7 linked regions of the Bombyx mori genome follow. The protein of the gene in region 2 binds, or shares a complex with, the protein of the main gene of each other region. Links are inferred from orthologs where the notes say so. Each region holds a gene or a part of one and is shown on either strand. Other genes may lie near its edges.

What was found.
Region 1: probable nucleoporin Nup54 (region 2) and nuclear pore complex protein Nup214 share a complex: the UniProt entries of both Drosophila melanogaster proteins name them as parts of the nuclear pore complex. The link is inferred for Bombyx mori from reciprocal best matches to the Drosophila melanogaster genes Nup54 and Nup214.
Region 3: probable nucleoporin Nup54 (region 2) and nuclear pore complex protein Nup205 share a complex: the UniProt entries of both Drosophila melanogaster proteins name them as parts of the nuclear pore complex. The link is inferred for Bombyx mori from reciprocal best matches to the Drosophila melanogaster genes Nup54 and Nup205.
Region 4: probable nucleoporin Nup54 (region 2) and PCI domain-containing protein 2 homolog share a complex: the UniProt entries of both Drosophila melanogaster proteins name them as parts of the nuclear pore complex. The link is inferred for Bombyx mori from reciprocal best matches to the Drosophila melanogaster genes Nup54 and PCID2.
Region 5: probable nucleoporin Nup54 (region 2) and nuclear pore complex protein Nup85 share a complex: the UniProt entries of both Drosophila melanogaster proteins name them as parts of the nuclear pore complex. The link is inferred for Bombyx mori from reciprocal best matches to the Drosophila melanogaster genes Nup54 and Nup75.
Region 6: probable nucleoporin Nup54 (region 2) and nucleoprotein TPR share a complex: the UniProt entries of both Drosophila melanogaster proteins name them as parts of the nuclear pore complex. The link is inferred for Bombyx mori from reciprocal best matches to the Drosophila melanogaster genes Nup54 and Mgtor.
Region 7: probable nucleoporin Nup54 (region 2) and nuclear pore complex protein Nup98-Nup96 share a complex: the UniProt entries of both Drosophila melanogaster proteins name them as parts of the nuclear pore complex. The link is inferred for Bombyx mori from reciprocal best matches to the Drosophila melanogaster genes Nup54 and Nup98-96.

The regions. Positions count from the first base shown.
Region 1 is NC_085123.1:8,954,961-8,959,164, forward strand, and holds the start of nuclear pore complex protein Nup214, read right to left. Parts: upstream 2,801-4,204; 5' UTR 2,559-2,800; coding exon 2,520-2,558; intron 2,207-2,519; coding exon 2,068-2,206; intron 1,789-2,067; coding exon 1,628-1,788; intron 1,135-1,627; coding exon 962-1,134; intron 109-961; coding exon 1-108. UniProt on the Drosophila melanogaster protein: Part of the nuclear pore complex. Serves as a docking site in the receptor-mediated import of substrates across the nuclear pore complex including emb, RanGAP and phosphorylated Mad. Protects mbo/Nup88 from proteasomal degradation at the nuclear pore.
Region 2 is NC_085121.1:5,997,377-6,000,876, forward strand, and holds part of probable nucleoporin Nup54, read left to right. Parts: intron 1-796; coding exon 797-950; intron 951-2,678; coding exon 2,679-2,835; intron 2,836-3,415; coding exon 3,416-3,500. UniProt on the Drosophila melanogaster protein: Component of the nuclear pore complex (NPC), a complex required for the trafficking across the nuclear envelope. Essential for the nuclear import of nuclear localization signal (NLS)-containing proteins in an importin alpha/importin beta-dependent manner.
Region 3 is NC_085121.1:1,024,873-1,028,372, forward strand, and holds part of nuclear pore complex protein Nup205, read left to right. Parts: intron 1-1,576; coding exon 1,577-2,386; intron 2,387-3,500. UniProt on the Drosophila melanogaster protein: Plays a role in the nuclear pore complex (NPC) assembly and maintenance, but with limited role in NPC permeability. Required for specific nuclear import pathways such as Mad import.
Region 4 is NC_085115.1:3,910,084-3,914,319, reverse strand, and holds the start of PCI domain-containing protein 2 homolog, read left to right. Parts: upstream 1-1,436; 5' UTR 1,437-1,822; coding exon 1,823-2,038; intron 2,039-2,399; coding exon 2,400-2,568; intron 2,569-3,163; coding exon 3,164-3,972; 3' UTR 3,973-4,236. Other genes in the region: Nopp34 (nucleolar phosphoprotein), read right to left, coding at 1-70, 145-225. UniProt on the Drosophila melanogaster protein: Required for the export of nuclear mRNAs and involved in mRNA trafficking in the cytoplasm.
Region 5 is NC_085123.1:528,829-532,967, reverse strand, and holds the start of nuclear pore complex protein Nup85, read left to right. Parts: upstream 1-1,339; 5' UTR 1,340-1,452; coding exon 1,453-1,527; intron 1,528-1,599; coding exon 1,600-2,292; intron 2,293-2,921; coding exon 2,922-3,044; intron 3,045-3,545; coding exon 3,546-3,761; intron 3,762-4,139. UniProt on the Drosophila melanogaster protein: Component of the nuclear pore complex (NPC) that seems to be required for NPC assembly and maintenance. Required for nuclear import of phosphorylated Mad via importin msk.
Region 6 is NC_085117.1:12,300,011-12,303,510, forward strand, and holds part of nucleoprotein TPR, read left to right. Parts: intron 1-222; coding exon 223-3,500. UniProt on the Drosophila melanogaster protein: Component of the nuclear pore complex (NPC), a complex required for the trafficking across the nuclear envelope. Functions as a scaffolding element in the nuclear phase of the NPC.
Region 7 is NC_085117.1:3,540,906-3,544,405, forward strand, and holds part of nuclear pore complex protein Nup98-Nup96, read left to right. Parts: intron 1-148; coding exon 149-256; intron 257-1,260; coding exon 1,261-1,380; intron 1,381-2,223; coding exon 2,224-2,374; intron 2,375-3,030; coding exon 3,031-3,133; intron 3,134-3,500. UniProt on the Drosophila melanogaster protein: Part of the nuclear pore complex (NPC). Required for MAD import as part of the Nup107-160 complex and required for nuclear export of Moe probably via its association with Rae1. Plays a role in nuclear mRNA export.

The sequences.
Region 1 (4,204 bases), on a different chromosome or scaffold from region 2:
GGAGCTGGTATTGTTTTTGCAAGAGTCAAGTCTGGTTTGTACTGACACAGTGTCCCGTCATTGTTGCCTGTCACCAACTGTTTCCCTTTTGGACTCCAACAAATACATCTGTGAAAGAAATTGATAGAAAACCAGTCATGAGCGGAAGCTGCAAAATTAACACTCCAATCGACTATAAATCTGGAGTCTGTGTTGTAAAGGATGAGAGGCATGGTGTACTTGTGTTGAGTGATACAGCTGTGTAGTTATACAAATCCTAAAAGAAGGTATTAAAAGATATAAATTTCAAGCATGTGTTCTATTCAATCAATATATAATAATACAAGCTTACTGGTGGTAGGCCCTCCTGTGAGTCCGCACAGGCAGGTTTTTTTTTTTATAGCTTATATTTTATTAGAAACAGAAATGCGTTTCGGTTTGAAGGGGGTGCAGCCATTGTAGCTATACTGAGACTTCAGAACTTATATCTCAAGGTGGATATCACATTTACATTGTAAATGTCTATGGGCTCCAGTACCACTAAGCACCAGGTCGGCTGTGAGCTCGTCCACCCATCTAAGCAATAAAAAAAAATCCTCAAGAGAGGAATAGCATTGCATAATAAAAATCTCACCATCAACATTTATAAATTTGAGAATTATAATTATATTAAATTAAAAATTGTTTTAAATTTATAGAGTGGCAGGTCATTGTTTGGTAGATATAAAACTTTTTTTAAAATACAGTCAATATACAGAACAAGAGAAATGTTGATTTGCAGAGAACTGCTAGTATTGTTGTAAGCTCCCCTTTCTTTTGCACAGATGGATAAGAGCCCGCTGTCTGGACCTTGTGTTCAGTTGTTGTCAGAGCCTATACACATTAGGTATAAGTTCCAATTATATATTTTCTTTTAATGTATAGTCATAATTTTTGTTTCAGTTGTGAAATAGTTCATTAATAAAAGCAATTCAAAACTTACCTCGCTTTTGTTTGTACTTTCTTGACCTGGTTTGTGGTAACTTGACAGGCAAGTAAGGTACCATCTTGGAATGCTAATGCTAAAGAGTCCGGTATGCAAGGGTTCCATTGTAATGCTGATACAAATGTTGATGGATTCACATTGGTCTTCATAAATATTGATGGTGATACATTCTGTGGAATGAATATAAGAGGATGAAGCCATTTATATAAAGAGAGATCAAATCTTCTAGAGTACTGTATTTCGTTTAATCAATAGATATTTACTTTAAATATAACTACATATTTAGAATTAAATTACTAAATACTGACAAATACTGAGCAAGACAAGAATTCGTAGGTCAGAACTAATTGGAAGGTGGCAACAATTTCAATTGACTACAATTTAGTTAGCCTTTCTTTCATTGTGTTGTACATTTATTCATGAGTAAACTAAGGTCTGCTCTTAGGTCCTTGAGACATCATGTTAGCATTAGAAACAAATAAATTGACAGCTTGTTAACATAATCCTGGAATATGAAGTATAAATGCATAAAAGAGGGGATAGATATTGCATAATATGAAAATGCATTAAAAGAGTACTGTTTTATAAGGAGGATTACTAATACTGTATTATATTTCCTAATTATTAATTCAATTATCTTAATAAATACATTAGGTGTATTACCTGATTCTGAAAGTCTGTGACTTTAAACACGGAAAGAGATTGCGAACCAGCCACTGCAAGTAGTTCATCATCGCAACTAACAGCAATATGCGTAGCACACTCTTGAAGCTTCACATTTGTATGTTGTGTCTCATTAGATATCAGTTGTTTTAGGGAATAGACTAAAACATTTATAAATAGACTTTACTCAAAATAGATGTTACTTGAGCTAGTTCATTTGAATATTGAAAGTGTTGCTATTTTTTGGTTAAAAGTTGTTTTACTAACTTTAGGGTATTTAAGTGACTTTTACTTAATTTCAGTTTCACAATTTATATATTGAACCCATATGTACACTCGGAAAACATTTTTTTTATACCCAAATTTATTGTGATCAACATAATGTATTTTAAGTTTTATGTCATTCAATTAATTTTTTTTATATATATTTTTTTATTTACCTGAAAGTGTCCCATCAGGAGCAGCAATGAAAACAATGCCATATTTGCTGCTACAGGCCACCAAATTGTAACCCCGATTTGACAATTTTTCTGTTGTGTTAAATACTTTTGTCTTGTGTTGCAATTTATACAACAAATTCTAAAAAAAGAGATTATTTGGATTTGTTATTATTTTTGTTTGGAATTTGTATTGTATTGGATGCTATGAAATTTATAGCCATTCATTTCAAATTATGATCTATTAAAGGAAGCTTTTAAATGAAATGAGAGCTTATTTTTATATCCTAATATTCATGGGCCAGTTTTAATTATAACATTTTCTTCTAAGCTTTGTTGTGTAACGTTGATTTCGGTTTTTTTTTCAATTCATTTATTAATAGGCACTAGTTATCCTGTCTGAAGTAAAACAATATTTATAATTTAAATCTTTAGAAATAAAATTAAAAACCTACCGGTTCATCAATAGAATTTGGTCCATACTTTGATTCCATGCTGCAGTCGGTTTCAAAGTTCTACCTACAGCTACCTCACAAAGAATACCTCAATATCTTTATCAAAATACGCGCTACAAGCCTGCGTTCAATACATCGGTAATTTATTGATTAAGGATACAAAATTCGAAGAGTATTAATTTGTAGCACAATTGGCAGTCAATTCATATCGTTTTGAATCATAGAACTATCAAAATATGTAATAGCCTAATAGGTAGTAAATTGAAGTATTTGCAGTTGACTAGGTCTAATCTGTGAGTTAAAAAGACTTGACTTAAAGGTCCTAGTTACCAGGTCGTAAAATCCCTTGAAAAAAGAGGGCGTGCTACACGAAAGGTATTCGTTGAATGCTCTAACAATTTGATAATTTGGTATGTAGTGCACTTTTTCGTTATAATATAATGACGTTTAGTGTGCTTGAGCGAATTAGAACGCATGTTGTGGGCTTAGTGCAGTTCAAAGGGCTTTATGACAACGAAGCTTACTGACGTATTTTTGATCTCCACATTCGATTTGACAATTTTTTCAAATATGTAATCTTTAAAAAAATATTAACACTTATTTACAAAATAGTATGATTGTGTCGCTTGCATTCCATCTAATTTAATACAATTCCAAATTTTTGTTTGAACATCAATGTGAATATGTTGGTTACAAGAACTTTATTAATCACTAAATTCGAGGTTTTTTAAAATAACACTTTTCAGATTTTTTTTATTGCCCGTGTAGGCAGACCAGCATACGGCCCACCTGATGGTAAGTGATTACCGTCACCCATGGACTTCAGCAATGCCAGGAGCAGAGCCAAGCCGCTGCATACCGTTAAATTGGCTGTAGATGAGAGGAAAATCTTAAAAAAAGTTATTTGACTAATTTAAACAAGTATTAATCATAATCTGTTACGTACTGTTTACCTGCACAAATTTTATGGCGGGAACGTGATGCAAAACGTTATATTTTGTTAAGTTATGTATTACTTTTTTCATGACGATTTCTAACAGTTCATCATTTTCTTTTGGTAAGCGAGTTTTCTACAAGATGTCCACGACGACCTCTGAACCCGAAGGAGGTAGGAGTGTTGTTTTATTTATTTCCCTACCTAATCGTTGGTAGCTTAAGCGGCTATTCCAGATACTCACGGGCGCAAAAAAAATCGGTAACATTGTCCCAAGCCACAGCAATGCTTCGTTGAGTCTACCACCGGATCGGAATCGCGACCCACTAAGAAGATCCGTCGAGAAACTCAGTGGGTTGTGTCTATGGGCTAGTTCGCACGTAAAAGTCTTCGGCGTAATGGACTACTTTGACGAGGACGGAGATCGGTGCTTGAAGAGCCTAAAATTACTGTGAGCTTTAGGGGATTCGACAAGACGTGTTTTGAGCGACGGCGGTTTTGCGTTGCAACGACACAGGGGTCGGATATATAATTAGCGGCGGCCACGATTAGGAATGTGAGAGACCGCAATAAACACTGCAACAAGATACGTGCCCACCCCAAGGGTGCCTGACTCGGCAGAAACAACTAGGTATACACCAGCATCACAGTTAGCGGCTCGCCCGGTAGGAGGCGAAAAAGTCGAGTATTCAACCAAGTTTTAGGAAATAGGCTGAAGTTTGACATTAGTATTAAGTGGTTTCCAGAGCCC
Region 2 (3,500 bases):
GGTAGATTCTGCGAAGCACTGCTCTTGCTAGAGCCAGTGTTAGCAACACTCCGGTTTGAACCCCGTGAGCTCACCTACACATTAGAGTGAAGCTGAAATAGCCTCTCAAGGTTCAGCATAGGTAGGAAAAAAAAGTTTTTTTTTTATTGCTTAGATGGATGGACGATCTCACAGCCCACCTGGTGTTAAGTGGTTACTGGAGCCCATAGACATCTACAACGTAAATGCGCCACCCACCTCGAGATATAAGTTCTAAGATCTCAGTATATGTAGTTACAACAGCTACCCCACCCTTCGAACCGAAACGCATTACTGCTTCACGACGGAAATAGGCGGGGTGGAGGTACCTACCCGTGCGGACTCCCAAGAGGTCCTACCACCAGTGATTACGCAAATTATAATTTTGCGGGTTTGATTTTTATTACACGATGTTATTCCTTCACCGTGGAAGTCAATCGTGAACATTTGTTGAGTACGTATTTCATTAGAAAAATTGTTACCCGCCTGCGGGACTCGGAACACCGGTGCATCGCTACATACAAATGCACCGGACGTCTTATCCTTTAGGCCACAACGACTTCAAATATATTATATCATCATTACACTAAAAACAAGTCCTTTTTATAAATAATTCAAATGTTTTTTTTAAAAATCAATTACAATTGAATTACACTGCTTCTTAGGTTTTCGCCAATTTGACGTGACTAAACTAAGCCTTGATGAATATGTATTTGCGAAAGCTTTCATTCCATAGCGAACCTAACGAGTCCTAATTTAGAGATTATAATCGTAACAGCAACAACAACTACAACAGCAGCAACAGCAACAGCAAGCGCCAGCGACAGCCCACGAGGCGTTAGTCGCGGCCGTGTTCAACTGCTGTGTGTTCGGCGACGAAAGGGATCAAGTTTTAGCGAAGTGGAATTTGATTCAAGCTCAATGGGGTACAGGTATGCGTGACCAGTATAAACTTGACACTCGATGCTGATTAATAAAAATAAAATAACTACAATAAACTTATCGAGGGGTGAAAGGCTATTTGATTTAAGCGACGTTACGCTTAATACGCGACAGTTATATTTGTAATTAAAGGTGCGTTTTATTTTGGTACTAGGGACCCGCCCTCGCTTCGCTTCGGAAACATTAAATTTTATTATTGATAGTTGAGTACACGCGGTTATTGTCGTAACGCGGGTGACGCCGCGGGGCGAAGCTAGTCTAAAAAAAGTAGCCTAAGTTACTCCTTATATCATCAGCTACCTATCAGTGAAAATCTCGTCAAAATCAGTCTAGCCGTTCCAGAGATTAGCCGGAACAAACAGACAGACAGACAGACAAAAACTGTAAAAAATGTATATTGGTGTATGTATCATATATATATATATATATATGCATGTAGTTAAAAGAGGCTATTTCAATATTACAAACAAACACTCCAATTTTATTTATATGTATAGATTAACATCAACAGTTCGATGTTTAATTTAACCTCAATTAAGTTTACTCATTGAAATAGCCGAATAAGTTTTTTTATTATGATATTTCTCCAAATTTTAAACGTTAAATGGCTCTTCTGTAAAGTTGCAAAAATGTCGCTTAAACAAAATAACCTTTGACCCTTCGATGTCGTGTATGGTGACATTTGACTACATACAAAGAAGGGCCGTTCGGATTATTGATAATCCCATTCTCACGGGTCGTATGTAACCTCTGCGGAGAGACCTTAGTTCCCTCTGTATTTTGTACCGTATGTTCCATGGGGAGCACTCCGAGGAATTATTTGAGATGATCCCATCATCTTGTTTTTACAATCGCAGGCGAAAGATGAAATTAGAATTTATTGATGAACTTATAATGAAAAGTTGCTCAGAATTTCTATAAACTCGTAATATCATAGTTACATAAGATCATCGCCGCCATACTAGTTAATGCTAGACGCAGTAATTCCAGTAATGAGTTTGCTTGGTAGTAAAAAGGGCATTATGGAATCTATATATTAATACGTGAAGCAAAAACTTTGTATCCCTTTTTACGAAAATTGCGCGGACGGAGGACTATGAAATTTTCCACACTTATAGAGAATATAGAGAAGAAGTGCACATTGCTAATTTTTTTTTTAAATAATGCATAAAAGATACATTAAATCAATAAAGCAAACATTACACACACTACATACCATGTATTTGACGCACACACGCATGCATACTATTTATTGTCAATCTTTTGTTCTTGACGTCTGTTGTCAAATTGAGATTAAAATTTTGTTTTTCTTTGTTAATATTTTTTTATAGTGTAGTCTTGGCGAATTTTGTGATTATAGAAGTATAAAATACAATCATAATAGTGTACAAACTTACAATTCCAATTAATTATAGTCGAATTTCGACTACTGCGGGACTTCTAGTTATAACAAAATTCCTTTGGCAGTTCCTGTGGTACGTAAGATTCGAACACAGAGCAGCAAGGTTTCTCCATTTACTTAAAAATTTTCTCTTGCACATTGTTATTTGAACTATAAATTCTATAGATATTATATTATTACTATAGACTATAATTTTTTTTTTTTTTAATTACATTAATTTGTTAAATATTGAATATTTAGATTTAAATTCAGAAACAGATTCAAACAGTCAACTTTTATAATGTATGTATGTAAGTATGATTTTTTTCTCGTTTAGGTCAAGCGTACTATAGTCGAAACCATCCGCCTTTGACGTTGACAGAGCAAAATCCGCTCTGTCGTTTTAAAGCAGTTGGCTACTCAAAGCTCTGTGAGAAGGAAGATAAGGATGGACATGTTGCTATGATTTTTAACAAAAGCGAACAAGAAATTAAGTAAGAACTTTATTTTATTTCTGTTTAAGACAACCAGTGTTTTCGGAAATATACTATAAGTATTAAAGTTGTTCTTACGATTGCAAAATTATATTTTTCTTTCTTTTCATTTGGGATCATAAAAACTGATGACATGAAAACTACATGAAATAAAATTATTTTGCATCTAACTTAGATTTTGATGTGACATAATAGATTTACATACAGCCGCGGCAAATTTATTCATTCATTCAAAACTCGCATTAACAAAACCAGTTATTAAGCAACTTTTAGTAAATTTTTTGTTACTCATGTTTGTGGATGAGCTTATCTGGCCCACCTGGTGTAACGTAGTTACCGGATCCCATAGACACACAACATAAATGCCGTCACCCACATTGAGACATGAGTCTCAGGCTTACAGTACAACTACTGCTCATCATCATTCGAACTGAAACGCATTACTGCTTTGCAGCCGAAATAGGCAGGGTGGTAGTACCGGCCAGTGCGATCTCACAAAACGCCCTACAAACCAATAAAGTACTCTTAAACATTATTTTAAAATGTGTCTTCTGATTCTCTAATCTAAATTTTATTTCAGGAATAACCAACAAGGTTTAATTACATCACTACAAGGCTTACTAGGGAACAAACCGAACTTAGCTGTCAATGTTGATTCTGTCAAA
Region 3 (3,500 bases), about 5.0 Mb from region 2:
GATTGTTTAGCAGAGATTCCGAGCACAACACTGTAGGAGTGGGTAATATCGGTTTTGCCGCGTATCGAATCGTATCTATATATCGAGGATCAATATCGGATATTGAATCTATATATTTTCTGAATCTATATATTGATGGATGCTAGTAGATTTTCTCGATTCGCGATATTTGAGATTTGAAACGATACGCTGATATAATATCGTAGTAGATATAGATTTAAGTCAACGTTATACGGTTGGTTTTCTGATATCAATTTATAATATGATCTTAAAGTAATAAAAAGAACATGAAAATAAAAATATCAAAAAAACTTTCCTTCATGCTTTTACCAGGCTTAGGACTGGCTACATTATTTTCAGTTTTTAGTATTTTGTGTCTTAATTTAAAATTACAAAATATACCAAAAGAGTGTAGATTTCAAAAGTTTAATACAAACACAAGAAATAAACTCAATTATTTGGATTCAACTAAAAATAGAAAAATGTGTACTTTAAAAATCAAACACAAAAAACTTTTAAGTATTTATAAACACTTGTCCAAAAATTCTAGTTCAAGGTCAAAGCGCGTAAAATTAAATTTAAAGAATGAAAGTAGGCTATACTGCATTCAAGTTAGGGTCGAAAGTTGAAACTTCTTTCCTAAATTGTATCCTGCTGATACGCTAAGAATAATCTACAGACATATGGACTTAAATATAAGGTTTACAATTGTATGGATAATGCCTGTTTCTGTTTCATTCATCACATGATATCCCTATCGTGCGCTCACTCACTCTGGCTGATTCGATACGAACCAAACGAATATTGCTGATATTCACGAATCGGTACGATATGCCGATGCGCATCACATCGAGCAATATCGTGTATCGGCTGATATCGAAATATAGATTTCGATTCACGAATCGGTACGATATGGCGATGCGCATCACATCGAGCAATATCGTGTATCGGCTGATATCGAAATATAGATTTCGATTCACGAATCGGTACGATATGGCGATGCGCATCACATCGAGCAATATCGTGTATCGGCTGATATCGAAATATAGATTTCGATTCACGAATCGGTACGATATGGCGATGCGCATCACATCGAGCAATATCGTGTATCGGCTGATATCGAAATATAGATTTCGATTCACGAATCGGTACGATATGGCGATGCGCATCACATCGAGCAATATCGTGTATCGGCTGATATCGAAATATAGATTTCGATTCACGAATCGATACGATATGGCGATGCGCATCACATCGAGCAATATCGTGTATCGGCTGATATCGATATATAGATTTCGTGCGGGGCGATATCGGATTCAACGATATTGCTGCGATATATAGATATTGAATCTATACACGATTTATATCACCCACTCCTACAACACTGCATAGGTTACTTACTGCTGCTTTTTTATTGTTAGTAGCAGATTCTGTTTTCAGATAAAAAATTATATTGACCAAAATAAGGTAATTTTTTTCTTTTAAGTTCACTATCTCATATGAGCCGTGACCACTTATATGGGATAAAAAATACATCAAAATTATGTAGAATTAATGCAACAATATTTTTGGACAGGTCTTAGACTACGTAACGGAGGTGAACCGCCAGCGCAACCTCGCCGCCACGCTCACCCACTACTACGACTCGTGGCGTCAGCTCACAGAGATGCTGTTCTGTGTAGCTCCTCACGACATCCTCAACCTCGAAGCCAGGAAGAACTTGCTGCTCAATATCCTACAGGACCTACTCAACAAGATACCGCCCGACGAGGTCCTGCCGCAGCTCGGCAACCTGGCCTCGGGCACCGTACTGCTGCTGATGGTCAATCTGCGCCACTGCTACATCTTACAGAAGCGGGAATCGAACCTCGCGTCTTCGGAATTCGAGACTTCATTCTTCGGGCCGTCAAATCAGATCATGCAAACCAATTCGTTGACGTTAAAATTCATACTAAACAAAATATTGAGCTGGATACTGGTGTCAGGCGGGGCTAGTCAGAACATGCGGGTCAACCTGTACGGAGCCCTGCTCAACTACTTGAACATAGTGAACCTCAAGCCCAGTCCAGCGGAGCCCGAGCAAGAATTGAACGACACGTACGTCAGCAGGCTCGACAGTTCCAAAGCGAAGGAGAAGAGCGAAGATTCGTCTCTGAAGGCCATGGTGGTGGATGTGATCAGTGAATTCGGCGAGAACTTGTGTGCGATAGTGTGCGGCGACTGTATAAGTGCGGGGCAGGACGTGTGCAGGATGGTGGCGCTGGCCTGCCTGGAGACGCTCATTGAAATCAATCCTCGGACTGACTGGATGAATGTACTCATCAATCAAGGCTATTTGAGGAGTTTGATCGACAGTCTGCTGCAAGACGATGAAGGCCTAAAGGAGGTGAGTCTGATATTATATTTTTTGCATAACTTTATGTATGACTAGCTGTACCTGTCTGCTTCACTGGGCATTTAAAATTAACATTATTATTTCTCACCCCCACAAAGATTCTCATCATTAACACCTCCGCAACTGTTGTAGGGAGTCCAACACTCATATAAATATTAGCCTATCCATTAAGTACATGTATTTTCTACATGGATACCAAGTTTCAAGTCAATCGAATGCACGGTTCAGTAGTTATAACGGAACATCCGTAAAATCACTGTAGATTTATATATTAGTATAGATTCAGGTATCATAAACTTGTCTATGTTCAAAATTTTTTTTTATGGTTCTTGGTATGTTTAGGGAAACAAGCAATACGTCTTTAAATTTGTAAATGACTCTATTTATTTAAATGATTTTCTCTATTGAAATCTATATTCATCTATCTGTATTCTCTGACTTAAAGGCATTTTTTCATCATTCAGTGTCACACTTGGAAAGTTTAATTCAATTCTTTATTTCTCATGATGATATTGTATATATTAAAGGAGAAACCCCATTTTGGGCCTAAGCGTTACACGAATGGGATATATACCAAAAAATTCGTCTATTTTGCTTGATTAACCTATTGAAATCTTAGCTTCATTGACAATGGCCAAGTGTAGAAAATAAGTTGAATTCTATTTTTTGTTTTAAACAATCTTTGTAAACATCTGCAACACTTATTTCAATATACGTAACTAGCTCCACAAACGTACGGATTAGAATTAGAGCATCCATAAAATAGGATCGATTTAGTGGAAATCGAGTGTAAAAAATTATTAATACTCTTTTGCTTTAGGATAAAGGTATTTTAATCAATGTAAATAGAGTATGGCCATCGAATCGTGACACAACTACTTACAATGGCGGCAATTCAAAATATATACAACTGACAACATTAAATATAGCATGAAAGGGTAGTTTTGCATTTTTATATTAATGTGACTATGCCATAGAAAAATACAAATGTATCAAATCGTGTTATGTTATCTTTAATGTTGCCAACTGAAGATATTTTGGATTGCCGCTATTTAGTTGTGCCATGATTCGCTGGCCAGACTGTAAACTTAATCTCATTGAATAA
Region 4 (4,236 bases), on a different chromosome or scaffold from region 2:
TTTTTTTTATTTTCTCTTCTTGTACTTTAGGGGTGACGGGGGTCTGATCCTTCGCTTGCGTTTTTTTCTTCTGTGATATAAATAAGAATAAGTACACTGGTTTTTTATAACCTAGTCTCAAATATATAATGTTATTAATACTACCTTTATAGTTTTTTGCAATCCTTTAATGGATTTGATAAACTTTTTTTGTTTGCTAGAATCCAACGCAACGTTTTCTTCCATTTTATTTCGTAATTTAAAATGTGATTTAAGCAAAAACTTAGAAGTGTAAATAAAGAACAACAAAGTCTTCTTTTTTAATTTTTAGGGATTTTATGACCTGGTAAGTAGGACCTTTAAGTCAAGTCTTATTTTTATTTTTATGAAAAGTGGTATGAAATGAAGGAAGCTGATTAATATAAAACAATGCACGAAATGTCATAAAATGAAAATGAAAATGAAAACGAAGTGAGACGAGACGAGACGAGATGAAACGGGACGAACGAGCACTTTCACAGATACTAAATAGTTAATAAACCACCGTTATTACACATTTAAACCTGAAGAAACACTTAATAGACAAAAATTTAATAAAACAAATCTCACAACTTCACTCTTCGCATTCCCGCCAAAAAGTCCCAAGCCTTCTCGTGTATTAAGTGCACAGATTGATGTTCGTTTTAATATGTATCGTTTGCGTCAGATAGGTGTAGGCATTACATATTATCTATTTTTTAGCTGCAAATACGGTACATCAATTTAATATAAAAATAGATTCCCTTTGGCTATCTGGTAGAAATAACAAACTCTCGTGTAACAGACACAAAAAGCTCAAGACCTTTAGGCGGGATCGTGAGAAAAGGATTAATGTGACTTGTTACATTTTGTTCATTTACTTTATGCTTAAACGTATAAAACAGTGGTTCACTAGCTTTTTCGCACCTGTGTTAATGCTTAAGGCTATGTTCCGATGTACACTGGGAGCACTGTAAAATATAATGTAAAATTAGTATACTGCGAAGCCATTCCTTTAATAGCTGCACTGGTTACTTTTTTAAATGGAACACAGTACAGTATAAGGGTGAGACCGATATATTAGTATTCATTAAGATATTCGTAATACAGCTTGGGAATTTTTAAATGCATTACTTTTTAATGTTTGAACCTTCATTTCTTGATTCCTTGAAGTCAAATTCCTAGATACAATATACTATTTATATTATTAATAACTAATGTGTATTATCTATGATTATTAACTTATTTCACGAATACCGTATTAGGTTTAACTCGTTTACCCGTTTTATCAAAGTATATTAAGATATCAGGATATTCACGTATTAGTTAAGGTATTATAATATTACATAACGAATATATTTGTATATTGACAAATATCAGTATTAACCCATCGTTAGTACAGTATGATGCCTGCAATTTGTGTCTCAAACAAAAAAAAATGTATGGTTGCCGCTGTTATAATTCACTTCATCTAAAAAAATAAATAAACATTTGATTTCACTTAATTACATTCCATTTCACATAATAAGTATAGTCTTGGCCTTCCAAATGCTTTAGCGGTATAGACTTCTTTCCGTGTGCCTATCCAAGGAATGAAAAACTTATCCTTTCTCCAGTTGAGCTGTGGAAAGTGGAAATGACATATAAAGAAAACAAAATTTCAATGTTTTCATGAGACCGATTTTGCGCTAATAAACTCTGATTCTTTGATAAATATCAATCATGAAATGTCGATTGACGAAATTATAGGAAAAACTACATTCTTGTAATTTTGTATATTAAAATTAGTCATTCAAAGTTAAAAATCCAGTAATACCTAACCACAATGTCGATGATAACTGGCACTCTTAATCAATACATACAATGTGTGGAACGTATGTACAGAACGGGACAAGGTAACATATTGTCTAGACTGTTGTCTCTAAGAGATGAACATGTCTACAATAGGAATCTATTATCTAGCGATATTGCAACCCTTGTCACAGGAAATTGTGTTGCTCCATTAGATGAACTTGTAATTGCACACTTATCATGTCTTAAGGTGAGATATATGAATTTAATTCTGGTTTTAAATTGATAAATATAGATTAAAAAATAGTAAATGTACCATTATTAATCTGGCCGTTACTACAGCGAACATTACCTGTTAAGTGTATTTTAAATATATCGTTTTATTAGCTTCTCGTCAAATACTTTTACTGGTGGCAAGACCTCTTGAGTCAGTAGTAGTCAGAAGCAGTAATGCATTTCGGTCAGAGACTGAGACCTTAGAACTTATATTTCAATATGGGTGGCGCATTTACGTTGTAGATATCTATGGGCTCCAGTAACCACTTAACACCAGGTGGGCTGTAAGCTCATCCACCGATCTAAGCAATAAAAAAAAATGCTTTGCATTCCAGGCATTATATGCAAGTGATTACATTGAGGCATACGATCATCAGAGTATATGTGTGGCCTCTGTCGTAAAGCTATTACAGGGACAGAAAGAAGAGAACTGGTGCCTTCCGGTTATGTATGCTGCATGTTTAGATCTTAGACTTGTTGCACAGAAAGCAGAGGCATCTAGCCGTAAGTATGAATTTGCATACATCATTCAAGAGCTAAGATAAGATGGTAATAGTATCAAGTGATTAGGGCATTAAGAATAAGATGCCTGGAGTACTCATATTGAAATCTTCAAATGCCAAGGAAAATAATGTGTCATAGAAATGAGATCTTATAGTATTTATGATGGTCGGTTGTGTTATAAGTTTGCACAACTAGGTATGTATTACCAAACTGCTTGTTTCTGTACTAAAGCAATCATGTATTCTAGCTTGAAGAATAGTGCAGCAATTACACTATACAATTCAGCCTTAAACTTCATCACTTAAGGCAGACTTCACAAAGTAACGTCTACAGACTCTAGTAACCACTCATCATCTGGTGGCTGTTTAAGTGCAGGTTCCCTTCTACTCAAGATTTGTCTCCTTAGTCTTGTTTGAAGAATGACTAACCCTAAGTGCTCAGTATATTCACAGGTGGTAGGATTCAACTCTGTTATGGTGGTACAATGTCGAAAAAACGAAATTATCTCAAATACTTGCATGAGTTGTTGTCTTAGTCAATATTGTGTTAAATAATCTGTATTCTGTACAATTAATTTCATTTGTCAATATTTCAGCTCAAAATGGCAGTAAAATTATGGAAAAAGCAGCAGAGAGCTTATTAGCTTGCTTCAGAGTCTGTGCTGCTGACAACAGAGCTTCAGATGTGGATACCAAAAAGATAGGCATGTTGTGTCTTGTAAACCAACTTCTTAAAGTATATTTCAGGATAAACAAGCTCCACCTTTGCAAACCATTGATTAGAGCCATTGATTCTTCACCATTCAAAGATCAATTCCCACTGGCCCAACAAATTACATACAGATATTTTGTGGGTCGTAAAGCCATGTTTGACTCAGACTATCGTCTAGCTGATGAATACTTATCGTTTGCTTTTGAAAATTGTCACAGAAGAAGCATACGAAATAAAAGGCTCATTCTAACTTATTTAGTTCCTGTGAAAATGCTGTTGGGTTTCATGCCCGCAAAATATTTACTAGAGAAATATGATTTGCTACAATTCTGGGATCTAATATCAGCTGTGAAAAATGGAGATTTGCGTGGTATCGATATGGTTATGGAGGAACATGAAAAGTTCTTCATAACGGCTGGTATTTATTTGATTGTAGAAAAATTAAAGATTACAGCATACAGAAATTTGTTTAGGAAAGTATATTTAGCGGAGAATTCACATCAGATAGACATAGCCAGCTTCGAGGCAGCATTACAAATCATGGGACAGGAAGATGTTGATTCAGATGAAACTCAATGTATTGTTGCAAATCTCATATATGATGGAAAAATCAAAGGATACATCTCATACCAACACAAGAAAGTGGTTGTCAGTAAACAAAATGCTTTTCCTCCATTATCTAGTCTGTATTAAATTTATACCATTTAAATAATACCTAGGGGAATACACACTTAATTTTTTGATTGTTTTAATAAAAATTAAGATTCCATTAGCATAAAGGCTGATTAAGTGAAATGTGATGATGAGCAATTGTATATCTGACGCAATTTCACTATTTAAATACTTTCTTTTTGATTACATATAATATCCATAAAAATACACAAAACAGTTCAGTAGTCCAGTTTTTTTATTTTAGTAGCACTAATGTGTTTAGGGTTGTCATTAAATAAAATAGAA
Region 5 (4,139 bases), on a different chromosome or scaffold from region 2:
ACAGGTCATCCGGTCAGCGACATTACTTATTAAATAAAAATGCAAAGTCATCAAATGTTCACGTACCTTTATACCTTGTAAATACTGGAAGGATTTAATTTCAGGGTAAATATAAACTTAAAAACTTTTTTTATTATAGGGGATAAACGTTTCACAATGAATCACGAGCGTCAAACTACGAAAACAAACAAAAACGTCAACTGTCAATGCATACCTTTTTAAAATATGTTTACGGCTATCATACTCGACTTTTTAGTTATCTTGGGTTAAAGTTTGTCTAGCACTGTTGGCCGTATGTTCGTGTATTTAAAGTTTGTAAGAAACTTTTCGGCGGGGAGGCAAGGTAACTGTATGGATTATTTTATTTTGTTAATTTAGTGTTGCTTCTAGTTTAAACGTATAATCATGGTAGATTATCAATCGTTTAGCATCTGTGAAAGTGCAGAAGTTGAAACCCGAAGTACAAAAGTCGAACGCGAACGAAATTACATGTAGATTTCAGTAAATTTCATTATTGGGTATCACTGTTCTGTCTGTTTCTAAAGCATAACAGTTAGAAAGCGTTCCGCTATGAAAGGTGGACTACATAGTCTATACAATACAAATGAGTCTTTGATTTTATGTTTTGTGATCGGTGGCAATATTAACGTAGTGCTCGGTGCGACACGATAATCTATTTAATGTGACCGCTGCTTATTACATATCCGACTCAAAGGACGAGGCAACGTAAAATTACATCGCGAAACATGACCTATCCGATCCTTTCACTCACGGTTACTTTCTTCATCAATCACGTCAATTGCGACGAAGTTTTCGATGATCGAATTAACTCATAGACACAACCCACTGCGTTTCTGGCCGGATATTCTCAATGAGTCGTGATTCTGATCGGGTAATAGATTTTGCAGCGGCACTGTTCTTGCTAGGGCTAGTGTTAGCAAATTTTCTCAGGTTGAATTTCTGAGCTCATCTACTTGTTTGCGCGTAGCTGAAATAGCCCCTTAGACACCAGCGAATAGACAACGAATTATAAAAAATAACAGGTGCGTATTGCTCGTCAACTTATCTAAATCTAATAGGAAGGAATGAAACCAAATTGAATCATCTGAAATTGCAATGAGATGAGATGAGGTGACGTCGAAATAGAATTGTGTGCGTATTTTTGAAAAAGATACCGCTAAGCCATGTCCTGCGATTTTGTTTTATTTTCTCACACCTGCCCATATACACATGCTAAAAGATTACTAACCCACTATTATTACGCATTTGACCAAAAAGAATAATTGGCTGTATGGATTTTGTTTCCTTTGCTTTCACCTTGTTCTATGTGTGAAACAAATAAAAAAATCAGCGCATTTGAAACGGCGGTTTCTGATCAATTCTGTTTCGCATTCAAATGTTTACAAAATTTTATGTGAAATTGCATTGTGTACATGAAAGATTTAATACAAAATGAATATAACGACTTTTTCTAACAATAATGTTCGTGGCGATGATAGTAGTCCTATTATTCGAGCTAAAACATTTGTAAGTAATTAACATGATTCAACGAATATATAGGTTATGTTTGAGTTAAGTTATTTTTTTTGTTTCTTACAGAATATACCAGAAAAATGTTTCAATAAGGGCGTAGGATGTGCGTGGAGGAGTGGTAACAAGTTTTCTATCTACCCACGCAGTCAAACTGTTTCGAAAACACCAAAAAATGATGTCGAAAACAAAATACTCAATATACGTCACGAGATTGTATTATTTCATCCGATTTTACGAAAACTGGTAAACGAATCCAATGGTACATATTTATCTCTGCAGAAACTCGTCGATTCTTCAAAAAATAATGACAATCACGTGGAATTATTAAAACTTTCACGACAATATCGTTCTATTATAAGAGTGTGCATTGAAAACTTGCAAGAAGCCCTTAATGATGCGAAAGACGGCAGCGACATGATCAATTTACAATCATACATTACAATATTTTATTCTGTTGAATGTATTTGGCATTTATGTGAGATCCTTTACATAGATAAGATTCCCGGAGACATTGTGTTGCCATACCTCCTAGAATGGGTTCGATTCCATTTTCCGTGCCATGAGCAGACTGCAGCGCAGTTGCTGGAGGCCTGTGAGCGAGGTTCAGAAGACCACGATGACTATTGGGATACTGTGATTGGCATGGTTGTGCAAGGGCGAGTAGATGTCGCCCGAGCTCTACTGAAATTAAATTCATTATCAGAAACAAATGAATTTAAGCTTGTTGATAATTCATTACGGAGTATGCCTGTTTATAGTGTGAGTATAAAAATGAAATATAATTTCTAAAGTCAAATTATCATTTAAATTCCTCACAAATAAAGGGAACAATTGATTTTCATTAAGTATTCCACAGTATAAATTAATTAAGAGCAAAAATTATACTTTGGATAGTTAAGAGACAATTTATCTGAACAATTCCATCACCATTTAGAGATGTTTGGAACATGCTAATAAGATATTTTATATGAATGTTTTTTCTTTATGAATGAAAGATTACTGGTGGCCCGGAGGCCTTTCCAGTTTCACCAGGACAGGTGGGCGAGTAAAGGCTCAGCCATATATGAACTTTACTCTTGTCTTATTAGATTTTTATGTCTAAACTACTGAATGACTGTTCACATGATATAGGTTATAGTCCACACATGTCAAACTTCAGCTGGAAAACTATTTTGGGAAAAACAATTAACACCATCAAAATTTATAAATTTATGTTATTATTAATTTATGTAACCATTGTGTCAGATCAAAGACTTCATTGTGGTTATGAAAAGTTGTATATTATTAAACAAATTTAACCTGGGATATCCTATAGCTAAAAGTTCGATCTTACCTCACATCTTGCCATAAACACTTTACATCTACATAACATGGATATAAAATTACAGATATATGGTGGTATATCAACTGGGGAGTTTACAGTAACTTGGAAGCATTGGCAGGCTGAATGCAGAGCTAAGGTTACTAGCAGAGTGTTGGCATCACAACCAAAACTTGAACTTATTATGAGAGTAAGTAAAGATGTGTGAATCAATTAAGTAACTGCATAAACTAGAAACTGTTCTTGTCCTCAAAATTCTTAGATTAAAGTGTATACCACCATCATCATCATTTACTACATTCAAAAAATTTGTAAAATTACCTATTTATCTATGCTAATTTCCCCGTTCTAAGCCAAATCAAATAGGAACATGGCAGATGCAAGCATACCTGTTGAATAACGGTAATAATAACAGCATAATATACAGCAAATAAGAACATTTAATTAATTTAATCAGTTAATCTATAACTTCAAAATAAATGAGTTATGATTTGAATATTGTGAAATGAATTTTTTTCTTAATTGAAAATGTTTTCAAGAATTATTTTTTTATATTATTAAGTGGTTCATTAATTAACACTAAGTCTTAAAATAGGCTTTAGGAAGATGAAGTGAGCTAATTAGGCTTATTTTTTATTATACTAAAACATTGTGTAATTCGTTTACTAATTTATACAATTTTGTCCCACAGTTAATCATAGGAGAATATTCAGCATTTGAGTCAATACGTAGCACATACACATCGTGGTTTGATATGTTGGGAGGCTACGTAATGTTCACAGCACCTTGGTCTAGGACTCATGAGTTGTCTGCTGCAGCATCGGCCTGTGCTGGAATGGGATCTATGCCCTCAGGCTCTAGGCTGGATAGGACTTTACGGGCATTGTTGGAAGGTGATATGCATCAAGTAAGTGACAGATGCCAGTAAGCTGGTAAAAAGATTAGTTAAATTTTTAATTAATTGGTACAGCCTGGCCATATACAAAGCACTGCGCAACCGGTGCAACCATTTGTGCAGAGATGCTAAAAGACTTTACTTTCACAAATCACTTGAAAATCGCAGCCCTGCTCATACTTGGAGATTCCTTAAATCTGTCGGCATTGGCAAAACTCCGGTCTCTTCTGTCAAGGATACTGACTTGTGCGCCCTCAATAAGCATTTTTCTCTCCCTCCTGTGTCACTCAGTGATTCGTCAAAGACGGCCACGTTGCTTAAGATTTCAAGTCTATCCGTACCCCGGATCCCTATTTTTGACTTAAGTCCAGTCTCGGTTGCTGATGTCCG
Region 6 (3,500 bases), on a different chromosome or scaffold from region 2:
TTATTTTTCTTATATTATGACACGATGTAATTCTTTCATAGCGAAAACCCTTATACATATTTTTAAAAAATGTACCCGAGAGAGCATTTGAATCCGGACATGCTGCATTAATCAATACCAATACACCGGTTGTCTTACCCAGTACACCGTGGAGATCTCATAAAATGTAACGCTTGAATTTTTTTTTTTAAATATGTTAATGTAAACAATTTCACTGTTCAGGTGAAAAAATCGCCGTTCTTGAATCAGAAGTACTGGAAAAAACGGCCAAGTACGAAGATGCGGCAAAGAAGTTGATTACAGCAGATGAAACTGTAGAAGAACTAGGCAAGCAAGTCGAAACCTTGAAAGCTGAACTTGAAAAAGCTCATGATAAAATAACTCGATTAGAAAATGAAATTATATCTCTGAAAAGTGCTAGAGATTCAGCAGTTGATGAAAGAAATGACTTAACTCGTATTTTGCAAAGGCGTGATGCTGAAATAGAAAGATTGACGACTAATGATACTGCACTCTCGCAACAATTACGAGCAGCTATCGATGCAAAATGTGAAGCATTGGCACTCAACGACGAAATACAAAGCAAAGAATTGTCTTTACAATATCGTGAAAAACGAATAGAACAAGAAAGAACATTGTTAAATTCTCAAATTGCTGGCTTAACAGAAGAAGTTAACAGGCTCACTTCTGAACTGCAAACAGTTAGACTAAACAACACAAGTAGACTGGTGAGCTTGGAAACACAATTAGCTGAAAAGGTTGAAGAACTTAATGCAGCTAATGAAACCATAGTCCAATTAAATGAAATAAAAAAGAATTTAAACGCTCGTGCAGAAAGTCTAGCCCAGAGGCTGGTAGAACAGAGAGATATAGAGAACAAAATGACAGACAATTTTAAAAAGGAATTGGATGCAAAAACGAAGTTAGCAGATTTATTCAAAACAATGCATGATGATGCTGAATCTAAAACACACGAATTAACAGAAGGGATATCAGAATTACAAAAATTATTAAATGAAGCCACTGATAAATATGGAGAGTTAGAAACTAAATACAAGCAGGCAGAAGTAGATCATGAAGAAATGATGGAAAAGAAAAATGAAGTAATATCTTCTTTGAAAAACGAAATAGAACATGCGAATGATTTATTAAAAGCTGCTAATGCTCACAATCTTGACATGGCTTTGAGTGATTTAGCACCATCCGCTGCAACTGCAAGCAAATTATTAAAATCTGGAATGTCACTGACACAAATATATTCACAATTAGTAAAAGTGTCTGATGAATTAAACCAGGAAAAAGAAGAGAACAGAAGACTCAACATTACTATTAATACCATTGTACAAGAATTAGAAGAGAAAGCACCATTATTGCAAAAACAAAAAGCTGAATATGAAGAAGCTTTAGAGAGCAATGCGGCTTTGTCACAGCAAATCGATTCCTTGGTCATGGAGTGTAACCGGCTAAGAGATGATTATAATGAAACTTCAAAGATAGCTAATCACTACAATCGTGAAAATACAAAATTGAAGGGAGAGTTAGCTGACTTAGGTAGACAAGTTTGTTTCTTACTAAAGGAAATAGAACATGTTCGTGGTGGTCTTGTGCCTAATGGTGACCATGATTTATCAAATAATGCATCCAATATATCTAATTCGTCTGACATTAGCTCATCTAGAATAATATCGAAGACATTAGTCACTTTCACCGACATTCAAGAACTACAATCAAACAATCAAAAACTTTTACGTTTAGTACGAGATCTTACAGAAAAACAAGAAGAATTTGAACGTCACAAAGAACAGTTTGAAAGTGGTGAAATGCAAACCAAAATAGAATCATTGAAAAACAGGGTTACTGAATTAACTGAAGCTCAGGATCGTCAAACAAAAATGGTTAACGGACTAATTCGACAACGGGATATGTTTAAAAAACTATACCATGATCATATGAAAGGAAAGCGATGCGAAACTTCTGCTCTAGAAACTCTTGAGTTGGAAAAAAGTGGATCTTTTACAATGGATACATCATCCGAGGATATTAGTAAACCAATTGAAAAAGTTCCGTTTGAAATAAAATACAGAGAGGCCGAAAAGCATTTACAACTTCTAAAAGAAGAATTTAAAACGTATAAAGAAGAGAAAATCACTAATGAGAGGATGCTTTATGAACAAATTGACAACATGAGACAAGAAATTTCGAAACTGACTACAGCCAACAGTAAATGTGCTTCTACATCTGAATACAATAATGAACGATTAAAGATATTGCAAACTAATGTTGCTACATATAAGAAACAAATTGCCTCACTCGAAGATAAAAACAAGGCATATAATGCTACTATTGCAAAGCATGAAGTTTCTCTTCAACATCTGCGTGATGAAGCTCTAAACGCCCAAAGCAAATTAGCAGCTGCAGAAATACAATTGGAAAATTTGAAACTAGAATGTAAATTAATCAAAGATGCTGAAATACGTCTTCAAACTGAAAAAGAAGTATTAAATCGCGAAAGACAAGGTCAGTCATTGTTACTAAAAAATTTAGAACTAATTAAAGCCAGTCTTGAACGAGTTGAAGCCGAAAATCGAGCGAAAATAGAAACAAGATTGGATGAAGCTACTAGAGAATGTTCTGCTTTAAGACGCCGACTGCAAGAAGAACAAGATAGATTTAGAGAATTAGCAGCTCATCTTGAGCGACAAACTGAAATTGCTAAAACACGTATGCAGGAAGAAAAAGAAGCAGCAGATGTTTTGAGGAAGGAAATTACGGAAATGAGACAAGATTGCGTTGAAAAAAATAAAATCAATGAAGATTTGATGAAAAAATTGAAATTTGCACTTGCTCCTAATACAGATGGTTCTTTTGACACCGTCAAAAAAATAAAGGAATTAGAAAATAAATTAATAGATAAACAAAATGAAATTCAGTCACTAAAAGAACAACTGAATGTTGCTAAAGAACATATTAAACAATATTGTGACATCTCAGAAGGGGCAGAAAAAGAACTTAAAACACTGAACAAAGAATATCAGGCATATAAAACTGAGTCCGAAAACAAATTTTTAGATTACAATAGTAAAATACAGCAACTTCAAGAAAAATGTTCCGAATTAGAAGCTGAACTGTCGCTTCATGCTAATGGAGAACACTCGAATAGTAACATTGCTTTGAAAACAGAATTATCAAATGCTAAAGAAGAACTGAAAACTGCATTAGTAAATGTTGATAATTATCGTACGGAGCTCGACAAAGCTCGCGAAGAAGTATCTAAGTTGTCGAATGCAGTACAAAAAGCTGAAGAAAAATATACACATGAAATGATTCTTCATTCTACTGATATTCAAACATTGACTCAAGTAAAAGAAGAGTTGTCCAGAGCACAAAACCAACTTAATGAATTGGTAGCGTTCAATAATAGCACAATCGAAAAACTACAAACTGAAAAATCTTCTTGGTTAGAGAGACAGAAAATACTAACTAGTGAAAATGAACAGCTT
Region 7 (3,500 bases), on a different chromosome or scaffold from region 2:
TCTATTCCCCCTCCCCACGAGCGTTGAACGTTTACCGCAACCTTGAAGTCGCATTAGAAGTTTCACTTCAAAAACTAAAGACTATTCAATAATAAAGGTTCGTTCTTTACATGTATATATGCCGGATTGTGGGTGCTTTATTTTACAGTATCTGAAGATGAGAATGTGGAGCCGCGCGACGCCCCGCCCCACCCGACCGGGGTCAAGCTGACGAGGCCGGGCTACTACACCATCCCCTCCTTGGACGACATGATAAGTGAGAGAATTTCTCCCCCTATCTATCTATATAATTTTGTACTTTGGTAGGACCTCTTGTGAGTCCGCACGGGTAGGTACCAACCACCGCCCTGCCTATTTCTGCCGTGAAGCAGTAATGCGTTTCGGTCTGAAGGGTAGGGCAGCCGCTGTAACTATACTGAGATCTTAGAACTTATATCTCAAGGTGGGTGACGCATTTACGTTGTAGATGTCTATGGGCTCCAGTAACCACTTGACACCAGGTGGGCTGTGAGATCGTCCACTCATTAAACAAACAAAAAAAATTTGTCGCCAACAACTAATATTGAACGTTATCACAATTCTAAATGTTATTTTAGTTTTAAATTTAAATATCCTAATTAGTGTCAAGTATCTATGCTAAAGATTAAAATTTCATCTAAATTCTTGTCTAAAATCGAGAAATACCCACAAAACAAAGGAATAAATATATTTGTTCAGAAAATTGATGCTGTATGATACGATTGTTATGTTAATGTCGCATATGAGGTTGGGACTTTGACCTTAAAGCGGCTAACGACATTCGCTGTGTGATGTCCATGTGCCAATTAACTCGAAAGAATTAGTCGTCGAGTACGACGAAGAGTTTGATGTGTAATCTAACCCATAGACACAGTCAAATGAGTTTCTTGTCGGATCATCTCAGTGGATCGCGATAACGATCCGGTGGTAGATTCTGCGAAGCACTGTTCTTGCTAGGGCCGGTGTTAACAACGTCAACAGGCTAGAACCTCCGTGAGCTCACCTACCCGCAACGATTGAGTAGGGATTTTTCCTTAGGCAAAGAATAACAACGCTATAGAGAAAGCATTAAACAATAGCGACCATATGACCCTGATGCCTAATCCGAATTAATTTGTATTCGACCGGTTGGTCCGCTACTTTATTGTTTCATTTCGCTGACCATTGCGCGCTCGCTTACCGAACGCTCTCCATTACCGGGTCGGAGAATCGACGTTATTACATTCGTGTTATCGTTTCTAGACTACATGCGGCCGGACGGCACGTGTCCTGTTCCGCACCTGACGATCGGACGCAAGAACTACGGGAACGTGTACTACGACTCGGAGATCGACGTGGCCGGCCTCGACCTGGACGCCCTGGGTGAGCCTCTGCGCCCCCCTAACCCACCTTCCCCTACCCCGCTGGGACGCAGTCGACTGTGTGAAGTCGACGCCTGAAGGATGAGACGCCTGGTGCCCAAGACTTCCGACAGTCCTTATGAAATACGTACTTATCAAATGTTCACGAATGACTTCCACGGTGAAGGAATAAAGCATCGTCTAATAAAAATTACTAGTGGTCCCGCAGTAGTCGAGATTCGACTATAATTAACTGAAATTATAAGTTTGAACATTATTATGGTTCTATTGTCAAGGACTATTAAACTTCTATAATTACAGATTTCGCTAAGATTACACTGTAGATAAATAATATTAAAGACAAACAATATTAATCTATTCTCAATTTGATCACACACTTTAAACAATAACAAAAGTTTGACGATAAAGAAAGAGTTTATATATATATCTATGTGCAGTGTCAAATACATGGTAGTGTGTGTAATGATTTTATTGTTATTGATTTAATGTATTTTTTATATATTTTATAATAAAAAAAAAAACATTCTGCACTCCTTCTCTATATGAAATATAAGTGTAGGCATACTCCCCCGTCCGCGCAATTTTCGTAAAAAGAGGTACAAAGTTTTTGCTTCACCTATTAATATATAAATAAAAAAAAATACCCGCAAAAATTATAATTACTGATAGTAAGGCGTGCTGTGAGTACCGCACGGGTACGAAACCACCGCCCTGCCTATTTCTGCCGTGAAGCAGTAATGCGATCCAGTTCTAAGAGGCTGAGAACTCGTATCACGAAGTGGGTGACGATATTTATACTGTTAAGGTCCACGGGCTCCGCTAATAATTGTGTGAAATTTTCCAGTGCACTTCCTGAACAAGGAGGTGATAGTCTATCCGGAGGACAGCGACAAGCCGCCGGTCGGAGTCGGCCTGAACAGGCGGGCCATCGTGACCCTCGACCGGGTGTGGCCCCGGGACAAGACCGAGAAACGACTCATCACCGAGCCCGACAGGTGGGGGAGCTTGGCCGCGGAATACTTTTTAATTTAACTTTTTTTTTTATTGCTTATATGGGTGGACGAGCTCACAGTCCACCTGGTGTTAAATGGTTACTGGAGCCCATAGACATCTATAACGTAAATGCGCCACTCACCTTGAGATATAAGTTCTAAGGTCTCAGTGTAGTTACAACGCCTTCAAACCGAAACGCATTACTGCTTCACGGCAGAAATAGACAGGGTAGTGGTACCTACCCGTGCGGACTCACAAGAGGTCCGCATTGATGTATATCATACTAGCTCATCCCATTACATTTAATTTCATCACAAATGATTAGTCTTAAATTAATCAGGTTCATCTTATTTCACAATTGTACAAAGAAGTACAAATTAAAACTCCCGCTATTTGATAATAGATGGCGTTGCACTTCTCAAGCGTTCTCAATTTTACTAGTTCTTTTGATATTCGTTTCTGCTATTTGAAGACAGATGGTGTTACTCTTGCAGGCGTAACAATATTATAACAGAATGTAAGAAGTGAATATATAAAAAGATTTGCCTTAAATGTCTCGTTATCAGACCATAACAAATTCTGTAATAGAAAAAAAAAACAACGTTTTTATACTTCAATGTAATTTTGATTTGCATTTTTTTTTAATTATTATTTGCAGATTACTAAAACTGGATTACGAAGGGAAGCTGCGCAGGGTTTGCGAGAAACATGACACCAAGTTTATCGAGTATCGACCTCAAACGGGCAGCTGGGTGTTCAGGGTACGGACTCGTGTTTAATCACGTAAACAAAATATATGTATATACGTCCCTTCGAGTGCGAATGGTCGATAGATCGACTCTCTATTAATGCGTCTAAAATGCGGAGCGTCGAAATACCGACTGTTGCGCAGTTTCATCATATGTATCGACCTGTACAGACGTGTCTTAGCGCGGGCATGTACAATTATTTTGCTGGCTAAATATGTGAAAATAAGCTGAGCATTAAAATATACGCCAAAACAATGCTGCGACAATGATAAAGGTATGGAGGGACTATCTCTACCAATTCCTCTGAACACACTCATGGAGCAAGCAGTATAAAGCACAGAGAGGACCGTAGTCCCTCTGCCTGACCCAGGTACCCTTG